Sus scrofa: one gene and its partner. The protein of the gene in region 2 interacts with the protein of the main gene of each other region in a pairwise test. Links are inferred from orthologs where the notes say so. Each region holds a gene or a part of one and is shown on either strand. Other genes may lie near its edges.

The links.
Region 1: the proteins of TRIB3 (region 2) and ATF5 interact in a two-hybrid assay, tested with the Homo sapiens proteins (2 studies listed by BioGRID and IntAct). The link is inferred for Sus scrofa from reciprocal best matches to the Homo sapiens genes TRIB3 and ATF5.

Annotation. Positions count from the first base shown.
Region 1 is NC_010448.4:54,943,797-54,948,038, reverse strand, and holds the start of ATF5 (cyclic AMP-dependent transcription factor ATF-5), read right to left. Parts: upstream 2,973-4,242; 5' UTR 2,885-2,972; intron 2,659-2,884; exon of another isoform or gene 2,543-2,658; 5' UTR 2,380-2,542; exon of another isoform or gene 2,199-2,379; intron 1,033-2,198; 5' UTR 914-1,032; coding exon 736-913; intron 1-735.
Region 2 is NC_010459.5:34,809,495-34,813,300, forward strand, and holds part of TRIB3 (tribbles homolog 3), read right to left. Parts: intron 3,607-3,806; coding exon 3,314-3,606; intron 1,076-3,313; coding exon 580-1,075; 3' UTR 1-579. UniProt on the Homo sapiens protein: Inactive protein kinase which acts as a regulator of the integrated stress response (ISR), a process for adaptation to various stress. Inhibits the transcriptional activity of DDIT3/CHOP and is involved in DDIT3/CHOP-dependent cell death during ER stress.

The DNA of each region.
Region 1 (4,242 bases), on a different chromosome or scaffold from region 2:
AACCTCATGGTTCCTAGTCGGATTCGTTTCTACTGCGCCACAATGGGCACTCCTCCCCCTGTCTTTTCATGGCTCATTCCGTACCATTTTTTTTTTTTTTTTGGTCTTTTGTCTTTGTTGTTGTTGTTATTGTTGCTATTTCTTGGGCCGCTCCCGCGGCATATGGAGGTTCCCAGGCTAGGGGTTGAATCGGAGCTGTAGCCACCGGCCTACGCCAGAGCCACAGCAACGCGGGATCCGAGCCGCGTCTGCAACCTACACCACAGCTCACGGCAACGCCGGATCGTTAACCCTCTGAGCAAGGGCAGGGATCGAACCCGCAACCTCATGGTTCCTAGTCGGATTCGTTAACCACTGCGCCACGACGGGAACTCCCGTACCATTTTTTAAGCCTCAGCCAAAATGTTACTGCCTTGGAAAGGGTGTCCCAGCTCCCCACTGTAAACTAGTCCTCGCTGTCGCTTTTGAGCTCAGCTACTGTTTCCTGCTTATCCCCACACATCGTCATTTGTCTCTTGTCTGTCCCCAGTAGAGTGTGAGCGCCAAAAGGGTAGGCACCACGTCGGTCTTGTTCCCAGCTGTATCCCCAGCACCTAACAGTGCCTGACATATTATAGGTGCTCAGGAAATATTTATTGAAGGAATAAATACACGAATGAATGAATTCTTCTTCTCCCCTGCCCCCTGACCCCAGCTCACTCCATGACTCCACCTCCATTCTTTGCCTACCCTTACCTGCCAGGGGCTCTCCCCCCCCTGGAAGCCCGCCCTCCAGGGCTCCCCCAAGGACCTCATAGGGGCCCAGGGGGGCAGGGGCCAGGGGGAGTTTCCCATAGTCTACGAGCCAGCCCAGCCCGCTAGCTGGGAGCAGGGTCCTGTCCAGCTCCAGCCCCAGGGTCGCCAGGAGTGACATGGCTGCAGCTCGGGTGCGGGGCACAGATGGCAATGAAGGAGGCTGCACCAACAGCTGGCAGGAGGCTCTGGAGATTACTCAGCTGGGCGAAGACGGGCACCAAGGCGAGAGTGGAGGACCTACGAGTGGGAGACAAAAGTGAGTGGGTTAGGGGCCAGCCTCGCCAACGGCCAAGGCCATGGGGAAACCAAGCGATACCCCCTCAGGTCCCCAGGATTCCTTACCTTTTGGGAATTCTACATCTGCCCTTTCTTTCCTCAAATGGGGACCCCACCCATTCCCAAGGGAATTTTCTTTAGGCCCCGACTTACTTTTCCTCAGAATTCCCTAGACCCAATCCTTCCAATATTGAAACATAATGGTGTCCCAGGGGAATTACCTTAAGACCCTCCCACCCACCCCATAATACTATCTCTCATGGAAAAAAAAAAAAAAAAAAAACACAAAAACCTCAATCCCAGGGGAATTTTCTTCCAGCCACACCTCTTGCCCTAAAACATATCCTTTAGGCCCCACCCTGTCCCTAGATTCCTGCTGTGAATCTGTTCCCAGGGGAATCCCCCTGCCCCGCCCCTTCATCAAAATCCTCCATTCAAATCCCATTCTTCCCTTCGAATTTTGCAGTGGTCTCCCGTCCCCCCAAGCCCTGCCCCCTGGTTTATTAGCTCCACCCTCCCCGACGATTCCCAGAGGCCCCGCCTCTTTCTCAATATAAACCCCACCCCCTCAGCGCACGGCGCGCTTAGCCACGCCCCTTCTCCCAAAGGGTACCCCGCCCCCGCCCCACCCTCCGCGACGTCTCTTATCCTAGCTCCCGTCCCTTAACTGGTCGTTTCTAAGCCCCGCCTTCTCCCCCCGCCCCCGCCCCCGTAGTTGCTTGAAAGAAAGGGAGGGAAGACGTGCTTTTACGCCTGAGCAAACTGGAGGGAGGCGGAGGGTGGAGGGGGGCGGGATGAGAACAGCTCCCGACTCCCCCTCCCCCCACCCCCGTACACGGCTGTCTCGCCGAGGGCCAAAGCGCAGGCTCCAGCCCCAGAGCTGTCCTATTGCCCCCGCAAGGCTCCGCCCTCCTCGGGATCAGTGCTGCGCACGTGCGGCTGCTGCTCGTCAGCCCTTTGCTCCGAGATACAAGCGCCGGTGGATCTGAGCAATCGCTGATTGACAGACTCAATCAGAGCGGGGAGGAGGGGGGAAACCCACCCTCTCTGGGAGCTAGTGCGCAGGCGCAAACGCATGTGGTCGTCTTTAAACGCCAACATTGTCTGGAAGAACGCACCCTCCCCCCATCAGCTGAGTGCGCATGCTCCGCAGCGCGCAAACGGAGCGTCTTGTCTCTTCTGCGCCTGCGCGACCGTGATTCCTCACTCTTGTCTCCCCACCCCCCCGAGCCCGGTGGTGAGGGCCGCGAGCTTGGAAAGGGCGGGAAAGACGGTTGGAGAGGGAGGGGCGAGCGAGCGGTTACTCACTCCATGGCTGCGGAAAGAAGAGGCGGCGGTGGCCTCAGCTGAAGAAAGACGGCAGGAGCGGAGAGCGCAGGCGCGGTGAGCACGGCGACTGGCCGGGGGCACAGAGGGGTCGCGGCTACAGAGCCATGGCTGGAGCTACGCGGGCGGAGGAGGTGTCGCGGTACTGTGAGGAGAGATTGTGATCTGAGGATGGGGAATGAGGCGGCCCGGGGGACTGGGGACAGATATACCGGGGGCGGCGCAGCACGGCGTGCCCGGATCCTTCCGCGCCCCGCCCCGCGCTGCCCCAACCGGGAGGCGGGCTTGGCCTCTAGCCCTCGGGGATCCCGGGGACTGTCCCCCACTTCCGACCAGGGCGTTCAGCCCTCCCCTTCCTCTGACCTGAGGATCTGGCCCTGCTTTGCTCCCGACCCCCTGGACCACCCCCACTCGGGTGGGGCCCCTTTCTCCTTCTGATCCGGGGTCCGGCTTTCTGTTCCCTCTCATTCTGGTGGTTCAGCCTCACCTCTTCCCCGATCCCTGCACGAGTTCATTTCTCCTTTCCTTTCTCTTGCTTCACGAATTTCCGGCCAGCCACGTGCTGATCTCTTCAACTGCCACGGCACTCTGAGAACCCTTGTTGTGGCTTAGGATCTGGTTTGAGTCACAGACCGCGCTCCATTCAAATCGCAGACGGGCGCGGGTGGCCTTGGGCAAATAATTTAAATTCTCTAGCCTCGTAGATAGGGAACTACCTGTAAAATGAGAATAATCACCTCTTCCTAGTGGGGTCGTTTGTGAAAATCCGTGCAGTCGGTGTCTGTGAAACCAGCCCTCCTTCATGCCTGGTCCAACCGCTTTTATTATCCATAACAAGGACCTCTGGGGACCAGTCTCACCCCTTCCAACTCCCCTGGCCAGAGCCCCAGACTCGACCATCCAACACCTGCTAATAGATCATTCTTGTGTCTCCTTCGCTCTAGCATCCCTGCCCTCCCCCATTTCAAACGATGGACGCTCAGCCCCATCCTGCTGCCGGGAGCAAGGCATCATTGCCCAGACTCTCGTGTCCATCCCCTGCTGGCTTCCCCTTAGCCCTTATCCTTAGCACGCCTTTCAGGCCCGTTGGTTCATTCTTCTGTCCCTGCCCCTCACCTAGACGTCCTTTCAAATGGTTTTCTACCTCCGTGCACCCCACCCTCACCCCCAGATCAGTTTTCCACCTTTGCCAGACTTAGGGAGATCTGTAGTTCCATTTGCTGAAAGAGATGGGGCTTCCTGGCCAGTCCCTCCCATTACACAGGGCCTTCCACCAGACCCCGTAGACGAGGGTCTTTGCTGCAAGCCCCTCTCCTCCCCCATTCATCCACATCTAGACGTTACACCTGGAGTACAACTTTTCAGGACTTTGGTGGTGGTTATGAGACTGAGTCAAGATCCAAAGGTGGGAGACCCAGATCTTGAGTTACCTGGAATGATACATGGGCCTCTTTTGTTTTGTTCCATGTGCATGTGCTTTTTTTTTTTCCAGTTTTACTCAAGATATAATTAAACTTTATAAATTTAAGGTGTACAGTATAACAATTTGATTACCCATAAGTTTAGTGAACATTTATCATTTCCTGTAGATGTGAAATTAAAGATATAGAAATAGGGAGTTCCCATTGTGGTGCAGCGGAAACGAATCTGACTAGCATCCATGAGGATGCATGTTCAATCCCTGGTCTTGCTCACTGGGATAAGGATCCAGCGTTGCCATGAGCGGTAGTGTAGGTCGCAGATGTGGCTTGGATCTGGTGCTGCTGTGGCGTAAGCCGGCACCTGTAGCTCCGATTCGACCCCTAGCCTGGAACCTCCATATGCCTTAGGTGCAGCCCCGAAAAA
Region 2 (3,806 bases):
GCTCAGGTCTGGATGGAGAATCCCTTGACCAAGAGGACAGAGCTGCTGGGAGCACAATTCCTAGCATAGTCTGAGCTCTAGGGTCCTGAGTTATGGGAGAGAGGCCTGGAGCCTTTGGCACAGTGATGCTTCCCTTTCTCTAAGGAGGTGCGAGATACAAAGGCAGCTGGGTTGTTTGTGAAAGGGACTGTCCCAGGTCAGAGGTGCCTGGGCACCAGCACGAGTGGATGCTGACACCTGCACTGAGGGAGCCACCCACAGTGTATAGACACTGACCCCTGGACATGGAAAGTGTTGTCCACTCTGCAGGCTGGAGTTCTGTCTCTGTCATTCTCTGTGTTTCCAGTACCCAAATCACGGCTTGGCACAGTGAGCACCCAAAGAGGACCCAGCGAGGCACGAGCTCAACGGCACAGGTGTGCAGAACCATGGGTTGTGCATCTGGCACGCTCCGTGCACACCTCCTCTCTCTCCCTCCCAGAAGGCACTTAAGGTTCAGCTCGGTTCAAAGAGGCGGGAGAGAGCGTGGAGATACCCCAAACCCAACCCGCCGAGTGCGGCTGAGAGTCTGTGCGTTAGTTAGCCATAGAGACCCACATCTCTTTCTGCCTCTTCCGCCTCCTCCGCCTCCTCCAGTCCCGGCCCTTCGGGGACCACCTGGTCAGCCTCCCGGAGGCGAGAGCTTGAGGGAGCCGTGGGGACCGCATTCTGCCGCAGCCAAGGGTGCAGCAGGATGCCCGGGGCCGTGAGCCGTTCAGCGGGCTCCCGACGGAGGAGGCAGCGGACCAGGCAGCGGGCAGGAGCTGAGAGGCCCTCAGGCAGGGCGAAGGCCCCACGGCGGATCTTGCCAAAGAGCAGGACAGGCTCTGAGTCCTGGAAAGGGTAGTGGCCGGCCAGCATGGTGAAGAGCGCCACACCCAGGCTCCAGACGTCCGCCGCCTTGCCTGAGTAGGATGCCCGGGAACTGAGGATCTCGGGGCCCACGTAGGCAGGGCACGCGTGCTTGTCCCACAGGGAGTCGTCAGGCCCCGTCAACACACAGGCGTCGTCCAGGTTCTCCAGCATTAGCTTTGTCCTAAAAAGCAAGGGGAGAAGCAGAGGGGTTCGCTAAAGGGACCATCATGCCACCACCCCACACTGTCACCCCCTTATTGTTTTCTTTTTTAGGGCTGTACCCATGGCATATGGAAATTGCCAGGCTAAGGGTCAAATGGGAGCTGCAGCTGCTGACCTAGCGACAGCAACGCTGGATCCTTAACCCACTGAGCCAGGCCAGGGATCGAACCTGCATCCTCATGGATCCTAGTTGGATTCTTAACCCGCTGAGCCACTATGGGAACTCCCTACCCTGGCACCCTTAATGGCATCTACCTCCCAAATGCCTTCTGGCATTTGCCAGATTGATTGAGCCAGTCCTGTGAGGCTGTGTCATTGATCCCATTTTACTGATGAGGAAGTCTAAGCTCTGAGAAGTTAAGTCATTTCTCAAAGTCATGGAGCAATTACATTTGAACAGGGACTCTGGGAGGAACACATTTCCCAATAGTCCCTGGGGCAGGGGCGCTGAGGGGGCTGAGGGCATTAAGCCCTTCTTAAACCAGAGGCAAACTTAGGGTCAAGGCAGGTGACAAAATGAGAAAAATAGGATATGGAGATTGTGTCAAACACCTCAACATAAATCCTACCTAAAAGGCCCTGCTAACAGCATTCGGCCAATATTTGGAGTGTCCATTGTGTACCTGACCCTGGGCTAAGCTGGTACCTGGCTCATCTCATTTCACGCTCATACAACCTCTGAAGACGATGCCATTTTGCAGCCACAGGAAGCAGGGCTGGGATGTGAACCTCACTCTCACCCACCCAGAGCCAGTGCTATGAGCCACTCACATGGTTCCCACAGTAGCTCTGGGGTCCCATTTTGCCTCAAGAGAAGCCCAGAATCATTTTTAATGACAAAAATCTCAGTTTTTAAAAAGTGGGCAACCAACTTCAATTAAAAACACAAACAAAAATGTAGGTGAAAAAAAAAAAGTGTGTATAGTCCCCATTTGCAACTTCTACTTAAAACAGCTCCCACAGAGCACTCTAGACTACTTTAAGAGTCAGCATTCTATTACCACTGCTATTAATCTTATTCCTATGACACCACTTCCTGGGTGCCTGTCTGAAAACGCTGACCAGTCCTGTGACTCACCGCACAGAGGGTGGGCTGAGGTGTCAGTATTATTGGCTCATTTTACAGATAAAGAGATCAAGGCTCAGGCCAGTGAAGCCATTGCTCAAGGCCAAAGAGCAAGTTAAAAAATAGAACCAGGAGTTTTCTGGTGGTGCAGTGGGTAAAGATCCGGCAGTTGTCACGGCTGTGGCTCAATTCTGTTCTGTCTCTGGTCCCAGAACTTGCACATGCAGCAGGCTTGGCCAAAAAAAAAAAAAAAAAAAAAAAGGGAGAAACAGAATTTGAACCCAGGTCTGTCTGACTCCACTGTCCCTCATTTACCAATGGTGCTTCTCAAACTATTGCCTTGAAAAGAGAAGAAAGCACTTTTTTTAAGGGCCACACCCGCAGCATATGCAGTTTCCAAGGCTAGGGGTCTAATAGGAGCTACAGCTGCTGGTCTACCCACAGTCACAGCAATGAGGGGCCCAGCTGCATCTGGTACCACAGCTCACAGCAACGCCAGATCCTTAACCCATTGAGTGAGGCCAAGGGATCGAACCCACATCCTTATGGACATGAGTCAGATTTGTTACCGCAGCCACAACAAGAACTCCAGAAAGCACTTCGCTCACTTCTGGGAAGTCTGGGGCATTGAACTTACCCTAAACTCAAAATTACCTGAAGCTGAGTATTATTAGCTTAAACATCGTTATAAAATTTACATTTTACTTCTTACTAAAAACATGTTCATTTCTGTATGAAATGTAGAAGGAAATAGAAAACCACCCTTAGACATCATGTGAATAACTGCTACAGACAGAATGGACGGCACTGAAATGAGTGAGTGAAAGTTTGAGGAGAAATAGAATATCCATCCACAAGCAAAGCCTCCATGTACCTCAAGCCAGTAATTCATTGCTTGTAATTAGGAAGTAAATGAGGAAACTTCCAAGGGGAGAAACTCCACACCTTAACTAGAGATTGAGGTTCTGTCACAGAGATGGGTATCAGCTTCTTGTATCTCCAGGTGCAGTGGGCCGAGGAGGCCTTATGGCTTCTGCCATGTTCTTGCCCCAAGTGCATCACCTCCGTCTAACCATGACCAGAACATCAGTCAAGTCCACACTGAGAGGCTTTCTCTGTGGCCACACTCACCTGTCCCGGTCGCTAAAGACGAAGCGCCGCAGCTTGAGGTCCCGCAGGACGAGCCCGTGCTGGTGGCAGTGCGCCAGGGCGGAGGCCATCTGGCGGAAGAGCGCGGCGGCCTCCGGCTCGGGCAGGCGACGCCGGAGGCGCACCAGGCTGTGCATGTCCCCGTGTGGCCGCGGGAAGAAGGCGTAGAGCTGCCGCGTGCCCGCCAGGACCTCCGACGGCCGGGCCACGTGCGGGTGGCGGGGCAGTCGCGAATAGGGCTCCAGCACCGCCAGGGCCTCGCAGGCCGGGTATACCTGTGGACCGAGCAAGGCGTGAACACAGGTGGGGACAACGGGGTGGGTGGGGGGCAGGCCAGCCTTGGGGACACCACGGTGCCCTGTGCTGAGCGCTGCAGCCTCACTTCACTCAACTCTGACCAAGGAGGGCCAAGCAGCCCGCAAAGGGCAGAGCTGGGATTTGAATCTATATCCTCTGTCATCTGTGCCTTCTTTCT